Linked DNA regions of Neodiprion lecontei. The main gene of each other region encodes a partner of the protein of the gene in region 2 in a complex. Links are inferred from orthologs where the notes say so. Each region holds a gene or a part of one and is shown on either strand. Other genes may lie near its edges.

What was found.
Region 1: the proteins of 2-oxoisovalerate dehydrogenase subunit alpha, mitochondrial (region 2) and 2-oxoisovalerate dehydrogenase subunit beta, mitochondrial are in contact, whole or in part, in a crystal structure (PDB 1V16), measured with the Homo sapiens proteins. The link is inferred for Neodiprion lecontei from reciprocal best matches to the Homo sapiens genes BCKDHA and BCKDHB. Residues at the interface, in NP_000700.1 of Homo sapiens: Phe155, Leu185, Gly186, Lys187, Arg189, Gln190, Gly196, Cys197, Lys198, Phe202, Val203, Thr204, Ser206, Pro208, Thr211, Pro214, Gln215, Val217, Gly218, Ala219, Tyr221, Ala222, Arg225, Gly244, Asp245, Ala248, Asn251, Phe252, Thr255, Leu256; in NP_000047.1 of Homo sapiens: Pro89, Thr90, Val92, Asp117, Arg118, Phe120, Asn121, Thr122, Pro123, Cys125, Gln127, Gly128, Ile129, Gly131, Phe132, Ile134, Gly135, Ile136, Val138, Thr139, Asp158, Gln159, Asn162, Glu163, Ala165, Tyr167, Arg168, Tyr169, Arg170, Ser171.

The regions. Positions count from the first base shown.
Region 1 is NC_060260.1:1,512,369-1,523,641, reverse strand, and holds 2-oxoisovalerate dehydrogenase subunit beta, mitochondrial, read right to left. Parts: upstream 7,551-11,273; 5' UTR 7,511-7,550; coding exon 7,348-7,510; intron 6,668-7,347; coding exon 6,590-6,667; intron 6,055-6,589; coding exon 5,852-6,054; intron 5,755-5,851; coding exon 5,599-5,754; intron 5,265-5,598; coding exon 5,093-5,264; intron 4,938-5,092; coding exon 4,792-4,937; intron 4,636-4,791; coding exon 4,549-4,635; intron 3,679-4,548; coding exon 3,538-3,678; 3' UTR 2,905-3,537; downstream 1-2,904. UniProt on the Homo sapiens protein: Together with BCKDHA forms the heterotetrameric E1 subunit of the mitochondrial branched-chain alpha-ketoacid dehydrogenase (BCKD) complex.
Region 2 is NC_060263.1:34,351,340-34,360,949, forward strand, and holds 2-oxoisovalerate dehydrogenase subunit alpha, mitochondrial, read left to right. Parts: upstream 1-3,904; coding exon 3,905-4,141; intron 4,142-4,561; coding exon 4,562-4,741; intron 4,742-4,834; coding exon 4,835-5,030; intron 5,031-5,203; coding exon 5,204-5,365; intron 5,366-5,469; coding exon 5,470-5,614; intron 5,615-5,716; coding exon 5,717-5,920; intron 5,921-6,073; coding exon 6,074-6,337; intron 6,338-6,424; coding exon 6,425-6,503; 3' UTR 6,504-6,626; downstream 6,627-9,610. Other genes in the region: ubiquitin-conjugating enzyme E2-17 kDa, read right to left, coding at 39-119, 1,201-1,244. UniProt on the Homo sapiens protein: Together with BCKDHB forms the heterotetrameric E1 subunit of the mitochondrial branched-chain alpha-ketoacid dehydrogenase (BCKD) complex.

The DNA.
Region 1 (11,273 bases), on a different chromosome or scaffold from region 2:
GATCGACCCATATGCGAAACCGATTTTTACTCAATTGCCCCGCCCGCTTATCGGTCGACTACGATTATGCCGCCTTTATCCATATGTCATGCCTATTTGCCAACTTGACATTTTTCAGCCCAGTTCCAGCCTTTACCAGTCATGATCCGATTTCGTACCGCGGTGCATGCCCGGGGTTCGTACGGTTATTGGAATATCAAATTTCCCGACTTTTTCAGGTATTCGAGCCTGAAAATATCATTTTTCCACTAACGTGTCGAAAAATATACCGACGAATAAAGACAATTTCTTTTACACGTTACTACCTAGTAAATATCTTACTATCTGACTATCGATTTACAGAGAACAGCCTGCGATTTTCGGTAAGAAAAAAACGAAACAAGGTTTGGTATCAAGTAACATACGTAGAACGTACGAAGTGCGACGAAACAAAATACTAAGTACAATTTTTTTTCTTCTCAAGATCGATATTACTCCGTGTAAGAACGAGTTTATTTTTTTCGAGACGGACTAAAAATTCCAGTCCTATTTTGGAAATTTCTTGACTTCTCTCGGTTTTCCCTGTGCGTACGAACCCTGAATCCGTGTCCGACATCTATTCGAATGGGAGGCAGACTGGGATACAACGTACGTGCGTTACATATTTCAGTCTACTATTAACCATTTCGGCATGTTCTTATAATACATATACGTGTTTCCCCAAGCGCCGCGGTTTTGTGGGTAAATTAATTATCGATTGTTATACGTCGCGTAGATCGTTAACCTTCCCTTTGGGACTCGGAGAGAAAATTCTCCCAACAGTCACACGACGAACGTAGAAAATCCTAGGTGACTTAAAACAACCGCGTCTCCTTCTTCGACAGGCACAAGGAATGCCCTCATTTACCCAAAACGCGAAAGGAAATGACCCCGTGAAAATGCGGGAAAGCAAAATCGCCGGTTCAAACGCTTCTCGCCTCCAGGGGCAAGAGACTCGTTATTACGCACCTATTTTTAATGAATTCTCGACTCCGGTCGTCGCGGATACTGCATCGAAGTTCGCGGACTCCGAGAACGGGTTCCTCATCAGCATCTGTGTGTGCGCATCGGGTACAGCTGGTTAAGGTATATATGCTTAATGCCTACATTCAGCGACGTTCTATCCGGGACGTCTTTTAAAGTTCACGTCCTTCGGAAGTCAGACGGATCAGCTTTCCTCATCGTTAGAATATAGGTATGTACACTGTATATTTTGCAGGTATTACGTACGTACATGTATGATGTGTTACATGCCGATCAAGTGGAAGGAAATCACGCTTGCTTTTTCAATATCGTCAATTTTAATCGGTGCAATTTGACAGTGGACGATGTTGCAAAGAAACGTATCAAACGCACAAATCTCGAAATCATTTCGCAGCTCGCCGATTGATTATCTAATCCTCAGGTAGTAATCGGTACACTGTAAAAAACATGCGGTGTCGACTTTGACGGAATGTTTTTTGGTATCAATTTAAAGTTATCTGACGTTCAAATTCTAAAATGATCACAAAAATTTTTCCATAGTAGTCCACATCGGCGCTGTTGGTCGATTTTGACCGCCAATTTTTTACAAGGTAATTGTTGGGTTATTCTCAATGCATCAACATTGATTGTATGAATTCGACACCCCCCGCAGTGGAATTGTTATACGGTACGCACGGGGGAATTTTTGCTTATACAAAAGAGCCGAGTAACCGGACGGAAAGTTCTACTACTACGATCTTTCACAGAAATTGGAACATTTCGTATTATTTCTCACAAACTTGTAAATACGCATAGTTTTTCGTGAAGAATTGTTAAACTTCCTTGAAAATTGTAGTAGCTTGTCGATCTTTTCCCGAGAGAAAAAACAAATTTGACGAAAATCTATGTAAATTTTTGCACAAAATTCTACGCAATGTACGAATTTTGTTAAAAATTCGTATAAAATCGTAGAAATCATTTTCATCAGGGGGTATTATTGTACATTTACGCGCGGACGATGCCGACTTTACGGATTCAGGCACGACTTCCTTGATACGTCAAGAGGGCTTTTAAGGATCAGCAGCCTGATCGTCGGAGATCGCGTACACAAGTCGTTAATTTTGACAGGCGGTAATTCAGGCCGGCTGATCGACGGAATTGGGCCATGGTCAGTAGGTAGCCCTGTAAGAGCCGGTGAATTACACGTCCACACCTGGTCGCGAGTCTCGCTCGGTCTGCGTGCATACGTGTACGTACACAATACAGCCAGTGTATGTATTCTGTATCCGGAGCAATGGTGCGATGAGGTTTTTGCCGCTTCGGGGCGTTTCGTTGCGAAACCGCATATTTTCGCGTATTATATATACCCGATGTCTATGCAGTCTATGCCTCGGCGCTGGTTCTGCGTATAGTACATCAGCGCCTTGTTGCAACAAATTGTCGCGATTCGTTGATGCCGATTTTTGCTGTATCCGGGAGAAAAGAATCGCGTTACTACAGGGTTCGTGACATGACTTTGCGTCGAATCGACTCGAGTATTTTTGCACCGTCGGCGTTGATTTGATTACCCTTCGCAATCGAATGACCGATTGTACGAAGCGTTATTTTTTGTTTACCCATATCCTGGGTGTAAAATCGCGATCGGCTACTTATCGAGCGCTCTGATTTATATCGACCGTGAAAAGATCGAATATCTCCAAAGATTAGATCGTCGTTTCAGATTCTCGGTTAGCCAAAAGCTGGCGAGCAACTCCCGCACGCTTGTTTTCCCCACTTTTGTCACCGCGTCGTGTTATTCGATTTCCACTACTGTTCTTATCATTATATTATCCTATGTCATGCGGGATCGGAGACGTGAAATGGAAAGAAAATTACGGGAATAAATTACGGTTCTAGAGTTGACGTACATATAAGGTATACACGTTACGTACAATATTTTTATTATCCTGAATCGTTCCATTGAATTAAACTTGATTTTCTCATTTCCAGATCCCTTATTATATTGGGAACAGAAATCACGTACACCGCAGACTTTCAGGCTGTATGATAATGCCTGTGTACAAACCGACGTGCAGTTATAGATCATGCAGCAGCGCCCGAGCGGCAAGGACGTCCTTTCGAATCATTGACTTTTGTCGCCGACTGCCTACACACGTACACATTTCTACCTAAATCCATGTATGTACCCGGCGGGAGTAATTAAGAAAAACCGGATCGCGCCACGTCTCGATGTCCGTGTACTTTCGAAAATTTTCATCCCCCTTACCACACGATTCAAGGTTTCACCCGCACAAGTTACGGGATAATAAAAGTATTTCCCTGTCGGGGAGAGCGCACGAGAGCTCTTTGCAGCTTAGAATTTTCAAGATATTATATTATAACGTACATGCGAGATAGGTGAAAGTAAAAAAAAAAAAGAAAAACAAAGAAATTGTACATTAAAGTATAGCCTTTGTTCCGCGTTGCGTGTAATGAAGGATTTCTTCTTCCACTTCCACGTCCTTTGAAAGAGGATCGGTCGGGTGCGACGATTTGGCGTCCTGGAATCGAGGATTATCAGTAGTTGACGATGTTCTTGACAGCGTCGAAGCACCGCCATTTGTCGGGGAGATAAAAGGGCTCGAAAATGTGTGGAAACGGCGTGTCCCATCCTGTGACTCGCTGGATCGGCGCCTCCAGGCTCAGGAAACACGATTCCTGTGCATCGCGTTATTTTTACTCAAAAGTTACAAGGTGTGCGTATAAATTGTTACTTTATCGATGATGGGAATTACTTTCGTAATCTGTGCGAAAATGCGAGCATTCGTTTATCTTCGTTGAAAAAAAGGAGGCTATGAGTAGAATCTACCGGCTTTTTTGCTGATGCGATTGTCGTTTTATATTTACAAATATTTATTTGTTACCGTCACAACGCTTTACGGCATTACGCGGTTTACTTCCTCGATACGTGACTCATATTGACGTAAGAAGACAATGTAATACGCTTAAAACGTCATCGAATTATTGCCGTTATAGCACAAAAGGCCTTGCGTTAATCGGAATCAAATTTTTATACGGTTGTAAAAAAAACACCTCGAGCATCCGCATCTGCACGCGATGCTTCCGCTTATTGTTATATCCTTTCGCCCGGTAATATTTAATCCACGCGTCAATTCCTCTTCGATTACGATCTCGCAACTCCGTTTTCGAGACAAAAGCTTCGCCGAGTCACCGAGCAATTAGGAAATGAAAGTTTTAGAAGGTGCATTCGCTCTTCCCGATCGATCGTCCGTGTATATCACGTCCTTTTTTATTATATGATTAGCATTGCGTCCAACAGGAATATCGAAAGTTTCATTATAACGAGCATGCGCTGAAGAAAAATTTAACGGTTCAACGATTAGCTGCGATCGGAATTCGGTAAAAATTTCACAAAAGAAAAAAATCTTTAATTCACACTAAAAAAGTCGAGCCCTCCCTCCATTATACCCTCGATATTGAATCTCGCGTGAGTAATCGGATGTTTCTGGATTGATGAAATGACGAACACAATGTGAAATGTTTGTTGAACGGTAGGTTAAAGTTTACCTGAATAGTAGCTGCTATTTCGCTTCCAAAACCGCAGGTGAGCGGTGCCTCGTGGGCGATGATCAATCGACCGGTTTTTTTCACCGACTGAAAAGCAGTTAACGTTAAATGAGTTGATTATTTTGATCATTTGATGAAACCGCAGTGTATAACGTTGACTTCGACAAATTGAGGAAAAATTTATATTCCTGGGCTATGCGCACGTCTCGACCCTCGACGATTCGAAACGGGGATTAAAATCACCTGAGAAACGGCATCCACGTCCCACGGGAGGATTGTAACGAGGTCAATCACCTCGCAGGAAACTCCGAGCTTCTCCTCGACGAGATTCGCAACTTCGATCAGAACGTGAACCTGAGTTCCCCAGCCGACGAGAGTTACGTCGGTGCCTGAAGAACGGAGAACATTGATAAAGAAAGAAGAATGTGCGCGCGTGCGTGCGTAAGTTTGACTTTTTTTTTTTTTTTTTGTCGTCATTAGTATCGCAGGGAAACTTCACGAAGATGGTTAAATCGAAATCAGAGATGCGGGGAAAGCGGCTGACCTTTCCTGACGATTTCCGCCTTGCCGATTTCCGTAACGTATCTGCCGATCGGAACCTCCTCAACCGCGGCACGGTAAAGAATTTTTGGCTCAAATATTATGCAGGGATCAGGCTCGGCCACGCAACTCATCAGCAAACCCTTGGCTTTTATCGGTCCACGAGGCACCACGACCTGGGGACAATTTGCAAAATTTTAGAAAGAAGTACACGTTGCGAAGGGTTGCGTGCTTTTCTCCCTTTGTTTTAATTCCAAGTCACGTCTCGTTATTATTATTATCATGATTATTATTATCATTATTACTAAAACAGTCCAGAGCCGCGCGATGCTTAAAAAAACAAGAAACTTGGACGAGTTTTTAATCTGCGAAAGTGCGGGTGCGAAATTCAGATGAGTCAAGGGGAAGGATAAGGGACAGCTTTCGGTCACCACTTGTACGATCGACCCTTTGAATATTTTCGAATGAAAATCGATTTTTCTTTGTAACGAGGATACGACGTGAACTGACCTTGAGGCCTGGAGTGTGAGCGAAATAAGCTTCGGGTGATTGGGAATGGTAGAGACCGCCGTGACCGACCGCTCCGCATGGTGCCCTGACGGTCAATTTTCCGCAATCGTAGTCTCCGCCGCTGCGGTACCGCATTTTGGCAGCCTCGTTGACGAGCTTGAAGTGAAAATGATTTTCATTTCTTTTATTTTTTGTTCCTGTAAATTATCTTCAACCTTAGAATCGCCGGAGATCGCGGCAAGTTTTTCCTTACCTGATCGAAGGCGGGGAAAATATAGTCGGCGAATTGTATTTCCGCAATTGCGGTCGATCCCATGTTCGCGATGCCGATGCCGAAACCGACGATTCCCTGCTCGCAAAGCGGCGTATTGAATACCCGATCTTTACCAAAGCGTTCCTGAAGACCCATCGAACACCTGAAGACACCGCCGAAGGCCACGTCTTCCCCGAAGAATACTGTTATAAGCGTGGATATAAGGTATGCAATGCGTCAACTTCCATTTGCTATTGTAATCCATTTCTCATTCGTAAAAGTAATTTATACGTCATTATCGCGACGGTAGAAGAGAGAGATTTATTAAAAAATGATAAAAAAAAAAAAAGAAAAACTAAAACTAAAACGTAAATTTGGAAATTCGTATATACCTCCTATACCTACAGTATTAGAAAAGTGACGATAAGATAAGAATTATTGTTTGTAGTAAAGTTGGAACGACTTTTGCGTGTGTACCGGTCGTAGATTATACGAATTTGGGCAAAAATAGAAAAAATGAAAGGAAAGTGTATACAGCTTCTCAGTTATGATTTCTGGTAGAATGTTAATGCAAATTCGTAGATCTTATTGCCCGATATACACGGTTCGCGAAATCTGCTTGTTGGATAATGACAAGATAAATTTCACGTACTTTGTAGATAAGTAAATGGTTACGTTCACTTTACGTACAAATCATCGAATCTTAGCAAGGTAGTATGTGTGAAAATGGTATATTACCTGCCGATTCGTCCGCTTCCATGCTGAGTGCAAGGCCGTTGTTTATTGCTTTGAACATGTTCATCTCTTGCGTATCACCTGTGTACACGTGCACGTACATATACATACAGGTATGCAGTCGTATAAACGGTCAAGAATTTCTCAACGATGCGAGGTGATTCCTCTCGCAGATAGAAAGAGAAATTGGTAACAGAATCTCTACAATCAATTCACGGGTATGGTAAAAATATCGCAATAATTTACGACCATGTGATAAGTTGACGTTTGAGCGTGTGAGAACGAGCATTATATCATTATTATTATCGTGTTCTTTTTTTTTTCGTTCAACGTGCCGACAAGCGTTAATTGCGAATCGGTGAATAAGTATAACGTACATATCCTTCGCGAATCTGGTATATAATGAAAGACCTTAAGTAAAATCCTGTATATCGAGTAGCCCCGCGGATAGCCAACGACCTCGTTCAACTTCTCGTATGAGAGACGAAAACAAAAAGAAAAAGAAAGGGGGTAGGGGGGAGGGGGGGGGGGGGGGAGCGGAGAAGTAAAATGACGAGGAAACCACGAACTGGTGCAAGAGCATGATCCGCATGTTGTAACACACATCACCCGATCGACGCTGCCGTTTCTTTTTCTTTAATTTTTATTATTCTCATTTTCTTTCGAATCAATTCAAAGTAATGAAAAAAACAAAACAAAAAAAAAAAAGAATGAAAAAAAAACAAGGAGTCTTTAGACTTCTTTTCATATTCGTAGATTACCGGAATTCGTTGGCGGGGATTCCGGTGCGTAGGTGAAATGCGTTCTTCCGATTCCTGCATGCCGGATTGTTGACGGAGCGACGGCGGGGAAAATGCTGCCTGAATTTGTTATTGACAATCTTGTAACGTTGCGGAGACGCGAACAGAACTTGCTGGTAGCCATGCTCGTCAAATACTGTGTTTCGTAGTGACGCGCGGGCCCCGTTATCGCTAACACACGCAATATATATTGTATTAACACACAAAGCGTTATCTCGACCTGGGGTTTACGCAGGGTCGTGACCTTCACCGGATTTCGTAACGCGCGCAACATATTCGTATCTATATCGCGTACATTACATGTATGTACATAGATACGTAACATTTGGCAATCTTATATACCGCAGTCCGGACTTTTTGATAACCGTACGAATTATTAATTAACATACCACTCACACGGTTTCGTCTTTTATCTACATCGGCAGTTTATTTTCGCAGATACCGATTGCCCGCGAATTGCGCCACACGTCGTCTCGCATCTTTGAAACCTGTTGAAGAATTTCTCTCGGAAATTTCAACTTTCACTTTTCCTCTGTTATGAGAGAAAAAAAATTATCATTTTTTCATATTTCCTCGCAGGCTTTCTATAGATATAGAAATACTTGGGTACCTTGAAGGTTCACGTGCGTGTATTCGTCTTGATCCGCCTTACAAATTATGTACTGTTTTCGGCTAATTTCAAATGTGTGTAATAAATATCGGTGTCTTGCTTCGTCGATTCGTTACTTATCCTTAAGACTAGATAAAATAAAGAAAGAGAACACACACATGATCGTCGATGACAAGTCCAGGTTCATGTTCATCCTCGACTAGTTAATTAAACATACTCTCAGTCGTCCGGAGTTGGCGGCGATACGTAGCACTCTGGTATGGTTTCCAAGGATTGTTTAGCCTCGAGCATTTGGATCTGAAAGACACAGTATTTACGCTTTGTTTTACCCACTGTTCAATTTTTCCAACGCACCTTCTGCCGCAATGATTTTTCGTTAATAGCAGCCCTGGTCAGTAGCTGTTTAACTTTGTCAAGCAGTTCCGATTTGTGCGCAAGTTGCTGCCTTAAAACGCCAATCTCTCCCGCGTTGTCCTCTTCCTTCCGCGAATTCTCAAGCATCGCTATTCTTTGTTCGGCTAATTGGAGGTCGGTTTCTAGGGCAACAACGCGCTGCTGCGCTCTTTCGTATTGCCCGTGAAGGGACGAAGTGCTTCCGCCGCTGTTTGGCCTTGTCTGAATAATAAAAGGAAGAAATATTTTACTGCCGGTTGACTATCACCCTGATCGAGGTATTGCTCAGGGATATCTCGCGAGCTAATTATTATTTTATTACCATTGATTGCGGGTGGGGATTCTTTTTCGCGATTACTTTTAAACGCTTGTTCTCCGCTTGGAGCTTCTCGATTACCCGCTTCAAAGTAAACACGGTTTTCTCGAGTTCAACGGTTGATTTGTTTCCATGCTCGTGAGATTCCTTTGGAAATAAACGCGGCGATGATTCGGTAGATTTTTCTACTTTCAGTAGTTCCACGTATCTGGCGATCAGAGATAATATTGCAACTTATGCGTGCACTGTTCATTCACGACAACAACTCGGACGGAGAGACTTACTTTTCTAAATGCTCAACCTTCTCCCTCAATCTCGGGGTATCTAGAACAATACGTTCGATCTCAAGCCGCAGCTCCAAGTTCTCGCTTTCTAACTTTAGATTGTTCTTCTCCAGGACGTCTTTTGTCGCCTCAAGTCTCTCCAATTGGTCGACGACATACTCGTTTCCCTGATAGATTGAAATAAAGACTGAACAGGTGAACAAAATGAATATACAGATATAAAATAAATACCTTGGTCACGGTTTCCAGAGATGAAATCTGTCGTCGTTGTGCCTCGATCTGTAAAATTAGCTGTGACGTGTCCGCACTCTCGAGACGATCGGTTAGTTCTCGGACTCTGCTTCTCAGCGTGTGGCATTCGTGCTGAAGATCTTCCAGGATATCCGTGTGGTTCAACGTTCTAGGTCTAGCGGACAAGCTACCAATGAGGCAGCCATTTTCGCACCTCAACTTACTTCGTAGGTACCATTTTTCACGCTCCATGCAGGACACTACTGCTCTGAGCTTCTCGTGATTCGCTTGCAGCTTGTTGTACTCCTCTGTCTTATCCTTCAATTTTTCCTTGAACTTCTCAGCCGTTTGTTGCCATCGTTTTTGCTTGTCCCACAGTGCTAGTTCCTCTGCTGTCTGTTGGCATATGAAACGAATGGAAATATTAAATTACATGAAAGCTTTAACTATCTGAACGTAAAGCTTGAACATAAATTATGATTTAATGATTATGAGCACGCTCTCGGGACCGGAAACCCATAACGCGTACAAATACCGGATTTTGATGATTATTTACAGTATTTCTAAATGCAAATTTATTTGTCGCGTTATGGTTTCCCGTCGCTTAAATTGTGCAACATTTAACTCGAGTGAAGTATACTTTGAGTTTCTTATTTTCGTGCGTGAATTTTTCTCTTTCCAGTTGTAGTTTGAGCGTATGCAACTCTTCCTCTAATCCCCTCGCTTTTCTTTCAAGTTGTATTTCACGCTGAGAGTTTCTTTGTTCGTGGGTTTTAGCTGCCATGTACCTGGAGATTTAGTCAATGAGACAGTGTAGTAATATTGGTACAAACGGTTTACAAAAGGCTAACACGAGTATGGCTAAGGGGAAATTTTTAACTCTACAGTGAATTATCTTCGCACCTCCGACTCAGCTGCTGTTTGAGATCGACGATCTGACTTTTGTAATTCTTCTCTTTTTCCGCCAGTGCCTGTAGTTGCTTACGGGCAAGATCCAACTGAGATTGCAACTGGTTGGACTGAGCTCTCCCAATACTGTTAGTGATCTCCTGCATCTTAGAATCATGAGCTACCGTCTGTCGCGAAACTGTGTTTCTCTCAGCGAGTTCCATCTCGTTCTTTAAAAATCAGACATGTTTGTACACGTTGATATCATTCACTAAACGATTAAAAAACGTCGTGTGTTACCTGCAGCTCCTGATAAGCTATGTCAAGCTCGTGAATTCGATTATCCCTTTCTTGCAACTCTTTGGATAACAAACTGTTTCCCTTAGCAAGCTGCACTCTGTTGTCAGATAATTGTTGCCTCAGTGTATCAGCCTCGAGCTGCCACTTGTCGCGCTCCATTCTGTAGCTCTCTAGCTCATTTTTGTGCTGTTCATCTAATCTGTATCAAACAAATTGGATACTGCGCGTAAGGGTCACGGGGGCAGCCCGCTTTCAACTACATTAAAAATTGATAAAAAAATACGATACCTTCCTCTCATGTGGTCCATGTGCTTCAGTCTCTCTTCAGCAAGTCGATGCCATCGTTCTCCCAACTCCTTAGCTATACTCAAATCAGCCTCTAGTGTAGAAACACGTTCGTTCAATTTCTCAGCCTCTTCTTCCAGGTCGATATTCTTGTTTCTATCTTTATGCACTTTTTCTCTGACTGGCAAAGCCTCGGGCAAATGAATGTAGTCGTTTATTCTGACAGGAGTGCAAATTAAGTATTAACAAAAGAAAAATCAACTCTCCATTTCATTGTTATAAAACTACTGCGTCATACTTTTGATTCACCTGTTGCTGCATTCCAGCTACTCGAGCCTGAAGACTCTTGATTTCCTCCTGTAAGCGAGCAGCTGCTTTGCTGTGTTCATCTCTGTCTTCTTTCAACAAATTTTGGTACCTGAGAATGGTTTCTTCCTTTTGAGTAATAATTTTTTGCAAACTGTTGACCGTCGATCTCAGGACTATTTTATCGGAGGTCTCAATGTCTGCAACACTTGGATTGAACTTTACAGGTTCTTCAGTTTTTTCGGTTACTGTACTGAGCAGAGAATTTTTTTCG
Region 2 (9,610 bases):
CATTTTCTTTCGTATTATTCTGCCTTACGAACACTTACCCAAAAATAACTGCATTCCAAATCATGATATTATTATCTGTTGGTGCGCCAGATACTCCAGTTGGTGGGTCTTCTTGTAACCTGCAAATAAAGCATAAGATTTGTCAAGCTTTTCGATAATTAACAAATAATCAAATCCTTATTCCATCTTTTACCGGTATTCTAACAGTTTTCACTTCAGACATTTGGTTCAATACCGAAGTAATTCTATTTGAATAAAAAACTAAATGTTTAATCATTATTCAATCGAAACAGTTTTTCTTGAAAGTAGCAAAATAAAGTTTAATACTCTCTACATAAAATTAGTTTACGCGTTAATGAAACATGACTGCCCAATGTGTACCATATTCAGTCATGGTCAAGTCGAGTCTGCATACAAATGTCGTCGGTTCAGCAACGAATCACGTTGATTAGCAATTTGAGGATAAACCAATGCTTGATGAACATTGAACAACGAACCACCTGAGGCTTTACAGTTTAGTTGTGCACCTGACGAGTTACTTAATTGAAAAATAACTTAGTCTAAGGGCAGGCGGTAGTTGACTCATCGCGACTAGCTGATAGCTGTTACTCATCGTGTTCCTTATACTACTTTGAGCAAGTCACAAGCATATTTAGGCGTGCAAAATTGCACGTTGCCAAATTAATGAGTAGATATATTTAATTTTCATTGAATTGCGAAAGAGAACAAAGAAGAGATCAGCCATAGGTTTCAACATCGACTATGGATAAGTGGAGGACATTGTGACAATGTGATTTGTCTGACCTAGAACGTCTAACATGTATGACATAAAGCATGGCGATAAAATTGCAATTTGAACATAAACCTGATGTAAAAGTGAACGATTTTCATCAGGAATAGGCGAATGGTTGGAGTAAACAAATAGTATAAAAAGGACGAGAGAGTTGTTTTAAGTGCACGAAAATACAACGTGTATCCTCTGCACCGTTCTCACGGCCTTCTAATAATAATTTCAGAGCACAAGTCACGGTGACGTTCACAGCGGGTAAAACGTCGGTTGTGTTGGTGAATTGGTGAGCATGTGACCATCGTAACGAAACGCTTTTTAACGGGTTAAAACTCTATCGAAGGGGATGACGGGGAGAAGTAAGGTTGAACCGATTATCACGATGCGACCGAGGGAGTTATTGGATTACGTACCTTTTGAAGTCCCTCATGAGTCTCCTTCTGGCAGGGGTGGACATCCCTTACGAATGGGCTGGTCACTTCTCCTCACGAGTAATGTGCTACGACGGGTTCGAGCCACCCAGCGAATCTTTAGCGCTCCTTGGCACACTACGCACGCGGCAGGTTTCTCCGAGAGGAATAATTCGAGAAACAAGGAAAAAGATACGCGCACAAACACCACAGCCGTAGAAGAGCACAATGGGTTTAAGAAAAAAAAGGAGGGAAATAAGATTTCAAAAAAAAAAAAAAAAACCACGCAACGCGCTACGGTCCTTGACGTGCCGTTATTAACGCGGAAACGAGGACGAGGAGCATCCGTTGTCTTCCTTCTGCTGCGTATATCTCGTTCCCCCTGGACTAAAAGCTGCTATCTCTCGATGTAATACCGTTATATTATGTTACAAGAATTGTATCACATTTACTTCTCGAAACTTCTTTTAACTCAACACTGCTTACCCTACCGATAATTGTCTAATTTTACCCGACGCACCAGACCAACACTTGCCTACATGAAAAAGCCCATGTCACAGACAAATTGAGGAAATTCACTTCCTACACTACCAGAACGGAGAACAGTGTGACACACGGAACAGCGGCTGCTGCTGAGCTATTCGGATCTGACGACTGACGTCAGGAATTTAAATCAACCGTGGCGATTAATCGCTTTTACGAACCCAGACTTTCATCCCACACTCCGCGGCGATAAAAACCAGTCCAGAGACGCGTCGCGTCGCCGCGAAATTCGTTCGTCCTGCCACCTCTAGGTGAATTTAAGTTCAAGCTCCTGGTACCACTAAACCACGCAACATATCATACGTGGCGTATGCGCGGTTGCCTTTAGTAAGGCAAATTGTACTCTGTCTTGCTTTTCTTATCGTTAGTTTCCATTACGTTATTTGAAGAAATTTTTTTTCCCACGAGTTTGATACCAGACGAATAAACAGTCGGATTGGCTTTATGGAATATCATTGACCCTGGAAAGAACTTGTTGGAGTGTAGAATCAGAAATTTGTAACTGGTACCACTGCATTACTGAACATTGTTGAACATATAATTTTGAAAAACTGGTAAATTCGAAAAATTAACGACGGAGCCAGGAATCGAACCTGGTATCTAGCGATGCTTTACCGGAGCCTTACTCCACTAGACCACCTAGCCGCCCTGACTCTGATGTCGTTAATTCCTCTCATCACCAGTAAGTTCAAATTTGTTTTCTTGTGCTGTAGTATGTGTGAATATATAAAGTGTTCTTCCTCTTCGAGCACAACTGTAAGAATGTCTGTAAGTGTGTTTACATTTTGGAAACTTACGCTTCTAATGCGAAGCCCGTAAGACAGTCAATGACCGTCTAATAATTGAAATGCGGATATGCATTATCAATATTAATATTAATCACGAGGCATTTTTCATTGTTGAACATATAATTTTGAAAAACTGGTAAATTCGAAAAATTAACGACGGAGCCAGAAATCGAACTTGGTATCTAGCGATGCTTTACCGGAGCCTTACTCCACTAGACCACCTAGCCGCCCTGACTCTGATGTCGTTAATTCCTCTCATCACCAGTAAGTTCAAATTTGTTTTCTTGTGCTGTAGTATGTGTGAATATATAAAGTGTTCTTCCTCTTCGAGCACAACTGTAAGAATGTCTGTAAGTGTGTTTACATTTTGGAAACTTACGCTTCTAATGCGAAGCCCGTAAGACAGTCAATGACCGTCTAATAATTGAAATGCTCGTTGTGCTCGAAGAGGAAGAACACTTTATATATTCACACATACTACAGCACGAGAAAACAAATTTGAACTTACTGGTGATGAGAGGAATTAACGACATCAGAGTCAGGGCGACTAGGTGGTCTAGTGGAGTAAGGCTCCGGTAAAGCATCGCTAGATACCAGGTTCGATTCCTGGCTCCGTCGTTAATTTTTCGAATTTACCAGTTTTTCAAAATTATATGTTCAACAACGAAAAATGCCTCGTGATTAATATTAATATTGATAATGCATATCCGCATTTCAATTATTAGACGGTCATTGACTGTCTTACGGGCTTCGCATTAGAAGCGTAAGTTTCCAAAATGTAAACACACTTACAGACATTCTTACAGTTGTGCTCGAAGAGGAAGAACACTTTATATATTACTGAACATTCATATTTTTTTGATTCTTTTTCCTAAATATAAATAATACACAACGTTGGTTGAAAAATATTTGCTTCGAATACAATAGAAAATTTGGTATATTTGCTCAGCCTGAATCGTTATAAATATGTATGCGTATTTATATTTACCAGGTTGAGCAAGTGGTACTCTTATCAGCATCCATAATGATAAGGATATTTTTGAAATACACCGTTTCCCAAGTTTTCGATAACTCAGTATCCATGCATGCAATTAAATCACAATCATAACCAAACTGATATGATGAGTCGACAGATTTTCACATGAAGAAATGTTATTTGGTCGGATGCTCGTCATTTTAATTACTTCGAGGAATACGATTTCAAATTTCGAATATTGTTCTGAAAAATTGTTGTGATGATCGATAATAGGTTTAACAATATATATTCAACATTATAATTTTTACAATAAATTAATGTAGTGTACATAAGTATACGCCAAAACGATCCGGCGTGTCTTATCAGTTAAAGTGTTGGTAGTAACCGGCATGATAAGTGTATGGTTACACAACAATGCTTACAATTCGTTCATTATTCATCGAGTTCAACGTGTGTCGTAGTTCTCGCGTCGAGTTGGTCGCACGAAATTCATACACCTCTCCACTGCTTTTCTTTGTACCTTCAACTTTATCATTCTTTCACTCAACTCCGTTTAAGCAATTGGAATTGTCTACATTTGGTCATGAGAGTCACGTGGGCTAAAAAAATCTTCAATCAATTTTCAGCACAATGTCTTGTGAGTTTCTTTTTTCATTTCTATCTTATATCAATGACGCTTGTGATCTATTGCCTGTCAGTAAGCGAACGATCACTAAATGTTCGTAACGATAAGCTAATCTGTGCATGACGTGGATATTATATTTTTAATAGTGGCAACTTGTAACATATCATAATGTCCTACCAAAGTAAACATCTCTTGCGTCAATGATAGCTGTCGTGTCGTTGCGATTGCCATACGCATATTAGAGACCTGATATTCTTGAAAGATTGGCGGAAAAGAGGATAATATGTCATAGAATCAAAGACTATTGATTAGAAATTTCAAGAATTCGAAATTCATCAGTTTGTTTCCTATTTCTGAGATTAATATTCTCATGTATGTTCATTTTATAAACGAGTACGTAATACTTACTTTTTCTTTTGATTTTTTTTACAGATTCACAAAGGTAACTTCACCACTTCAGCAACATTTGGACCCAGTAATCCCAAGTTTCCAATTATTTCTAACAATTTCACGGATGAGCTCAAATTTACCAATGCGACTTCATATGGCTCTATTCCAATATATCGAATATTGGGCTCTGCCACTGAGGATGAAGCAATGGCGAATATCGAGGTTTGTTAAAATTCGAATCACCAGTACGAACCCATGTATTTACGATTCAATGTTTGTTGATATTCATATTTTGAATTTTGAATTTGCCAAAAGCTGGAAGAGGCGAAATATATAAAAATGTACAAGGACATGGTAACAATTACTGTAATGGATAAAATACTTTATGAATCTCAACGGCAAGGCCGAATATCGTTCTACATGACTAATTCTGGCGAAGAGACTGTTCAAATTGGAACTGCAGCAGCTTTAAGTCTAAACGATGTTGTTTACGCACAATATCGGGAGGCTGGTGAGTTTAGATTATTTCTTCGTATCGTATCGCGTCCCTCTCACGACTTCAGCAAACTCAAGAAGTTAAATATCGTTGGTCCTAATCGTCAGAGCTGAAATTTACAATCAGGAAATTTGACAGAAATGCTAAGATAGACTTATAAATAATTACTAACATTTTTTATATTCCAGGTGTACTGCTCTGGCGGGGTTTTAAATTAAAACAATTCATGAACCAGTGCTACGGAAACTGTGAGGATATTGGAAAAGGAAAACAGATGCCAGTTCACTACGGATCTAAAGAATTGAACTTCGTTACTATATCATCGCCACTAACGACTCAATTACCGCAGGGTAAAGTAAACGCCATTTCTGTATTATTTTCAATATAAAGTAATTTAGATACGAAATCCATCCACATTTTGTAACTAATTACATGTTTTTTTATATTCCGTCAGCCGTTGGAGCAGCGTACGCATTGAAACTGGCACATTCGGACCGTTGCGTTGCCGTTTATTTCGGAGAAGGTGCAGCTAGTGAAGGAGACGCGCACGCCGCTTTCAATTTCGCAGCTACTCTCGATTGTCCCGTTATATTTATATGGTAAGTGGATGCAGAATTTGGAAAACTACTAGTTTGAACACTTCATCGCCAACAATACATCTACTAAACATGCGAATGGAATTTAAGGATTTAATTTTTTAGTCGGAACAATGGATATGCAATTTCCACTCCAGCTCGTGAGCAGTACAAGGGAGATGGTATCGCGGCCAAAGGACCTGCGTACGGTATTAACACAATTAGAGTCGATGGAAACGATATATTTGCAGTACACAACGCTACGCGTGCAGCGAAAGAGTGGACTTTGGCAAACGGAAAGCCTGTGCTAATCGAAGCAATGTCATATCGGTATAAAACAATCATTACTTCGTAATATTGTTCACTGATGTTTGTTGTTTGTAATTGGTAGTTGTTATAATCACTTAATTGTGACGTTTAGTACGATTGTACGCTCTGATAAAATTACGGTAGCTAATGAGTAATCATTTTTCATGCGTTTAGAATTGGTCATCACAGTACCTCTGATGACAGTTCTGCGTATCGATCAGTGAGCGAGATTGCCGAATGGGAAAAACTGCAACCGATCGCAAGATTTCGCCAGTGCCTAGAAAAATATGGATTGTGGTCTGAGGAGCAGGAAAAAGAATTCGTATCGTCGATCAAAAAGCAGATACTATCGGATTTTGCAGCGGCCGAAAAGAACGTAAAACCCAACTGGAAGGAGGTGTTCACTGACGTGTACTACAACATGCCAGATCATATTAAGTACGTTTACTTTGTACGATCAATGCGAGATAACTGAACGTGTGAAACAATCGGGAGCTAATGGAGTAAACGTTTGATTTATTTTAGGAAACAATCGGAAGCGATGGCAAAGCACGTCGACCAGTACAAAGAACATTATCCAGTAGAACTTTACAAGCAACAGTGAATCAGGTTTAAAATAATTCCAATCCCGAAAACAAATATCGATCTTTACTTACGTACCTTCATTTTTGGGAATCTGAAAACTTTTTCTGTACCTTTGAAAATATATATATAATTTAATCAACAATTCTTCGAGTTTTATTTTGTAAATATCCCGCACGCGTTAAAACTTTAACCGACCGCAGAGAACAAATATGTATAAAGAATACGTATGAATATATTAAGTTTCAAAAAGTATATCGGTAAAAATTGCTGTTTTTATTCGCTAAATCAAAAGTAAATGCAACACTCGGCATGCTTCTCCGATGACGCGCCCGAAACTTGTGTCGCTGCATGAAAATTTAGCCTAACGTTCGTGAAGTTAGGTTCAAGAATTTAGGAATACATAAACATGCCAAGACCCTGGGTTATTTTTCGTAACGGTTTGCCGGGTCTGGCCGGGTTTGGGGGTATTAGCAGTTTCACGTATTATCAACCAAGTAATTGATCATGCCGGTAAAAGAAGTTCTTCATAACCAACAATTATCGCGTGCAAAACGTTGGTAACATATCGTCGTCATCGCAAAATTGAAAAGTTGAGAAAATCTCGTGCAAGAAATACGTACGCCGAAATTATACAACGGATAAATAAATGTCAATCAAATAGGTATGTCGGAGACGTGTTTTTGTTTGCAAAACTATGCGAGAAGTCTGCGAAACATCAGAAACGTACAATCTAAATATTACTGATCAAACCTCGACTCAAATTGATGCAGTTTAAACTGTTGAAAAATATCGAAAAACTTAACTTCCAGGAGTTTAGATGTGCATATACATGATTTTGCAAATGGGTGAAGCAGGGTAAAAAACTACAGCCTAAACTTTGCAGAGAAATTAAAAACATTTAATTCAGTTAACAGTAACATTCGTCAAATATCAGAATCAACTTTCTACGAATAACAATTTTACACTCAACGGTAATTGATATCAATTTAAACTAGTATTGCCAGTTCATTCTAATTCTTTATTCCGACTGTCCATTCCCTGCGTAAAGGATTAGTGATTAGTGACGTGTGATTACGCGTAAACGATGAAGTCGTCTGGTTCAAGGTTCAGTTCATTACTTATTTTAACACATTAGTTTAACAATAAGTAATTTCTGGAGCAAGGCTCCGATTTGTTAGGGGGTGTTCCGTGTTATTCTCCAACTACGGCAAAAGTCTGCAAAATAAACAATAAATTGAAAAATACGATGTACAACCTATTACTGGTGAGATGCTAACGTCAGAATATTGTCTCAGAAAAGACCAATCGATTGTTGGAAGCAGAACACTTTTGAAGCTTCCGAACGGTCTTACAACTTTTCCGCTATGTGTTTTTCACAGAAATATCGTAATTTAAAGAGTGCACGTCTCCAAACTTCTTGGTACGACCTTTGACGCATTCATTCGAGCGATAAACAGTTCAGCATGAAACCATCCGTATATAATTGATAAGGATTTGATTACAAATAATCCGGAAAATCCATCTTCAGGTGGTATCAGTCGTTATAGTTTCTCATATCCAATTTAGAATTGTAATTAATTGACATCGTTTTTCAAAAAAGTTTTATTAGTGGAACGTAGGATTGAGCTGCATTAAATAACGTTCAATTGTTATTAATTTACTTTATATCGGCGAAACCTTATTCGGATATTATTTATCAATGTCACTTTTTGTCTATGTAAATTTGGGTTGCATGTTCCAAAAATTGGATTCATACTGTAAGTTCTGTCTTTCGGACTTTCAACATTTAATTAACTAGTAATTTTCTACCGAGTTGATCAATGCATCATTTTCATTCGCGTTTAATCATAATAATTTATAAATTTTACCTCCTCAACACTACAACACTCGGTAAACTTTCAACTTTCGTCCTGAACGACACAATTGCAAGTCATATTGTTATTACTATATGGAGAATCTTCTTGTAAAAAAAATTCCAGTACTGACAGGTAATTTGTGGACAATTCGTACACTTTGACAATATTTCCTGGTGAAAATAGTAGAAGATAAATAGTTTGTGATGAATAACATCTTAAAAATATGAGCATTTCCTATAATTCTGACTAAAAAATATCGTCAAAGTTTACGAGGTGTCCGCAAATTACCATTCAGTATGGGATTTCTTGTTACAAAAGGTATCTCGATTGTAATGTAGTTCACTTTCCTGAAGAAATAAAATTCAAAAATGACTCCTTACTGATGGATATTGTATGGCCGGATATCCGGCCAAATCGCTATCCGGCACATCCCTAATATTATTATTAAGGGTTATCAGTAAAATGCAGAAATTACGGGTAAAATAGTATCGACTTCGTCGGGTATATGTATTATATTCTCAAACTCGCAATTCCTAATAATCGATACGGGCACTGCCATAAATGTATAATAAAGCGGACAGATACGGGCAATTATAATCTGGGCCACTTGGTAATAAATTTCTGAACAATCCTGTGTTTGGAGGTCAGCGGACAGAGTCGTAAACTAACCAGGTAATGAGTAGAAGTTGTAAAAAGGAACCTTGATCATCTTTACATTTGTTTTTTATTACTTTTGAGATAATGATTGCCTAAGGATCATCAGGGTTTGTTACAGCATGGACTCAAATATTAGTAACAATCGAATGTTGCCTTATTTCTAAAAAATATTGACAAGTAGTATTTTTGTGTAGAATGGTCTGGGTTTTCCGATGCAAAGAAACTGTATTTTTAACAAACCAGGGGAATATAAAGTAACCATCGAGAAATTATAGTTATAGTTTCGATTTCGAGCAATTATTGCTGTAGCGTTAAAGTGTCCAGGTTTCGAATTGAGGGTTGCGCGTTTGAGGTTTGTAAATATTAAGTTAGATTTTGGTTAGTGGGCTGCAAGCTCAGTATATTAAGAAGTAGCGTGGGTTACGAATAATTTTCTACTGTTTAATTTTGGATCACGAAGAGCAAATTTTGAATTCCTTTTTTTTTTATTTGTTTTTGTATCGCCGCTATTGCAAAATGTATTATTTTATTTTATTTTTGTTAAATAGCGTGTCGTTGTCGAGTGTCTCTCTATCTGTCTTTCTCCCTCTCTCCAAAATTACCCCTCCCCTCG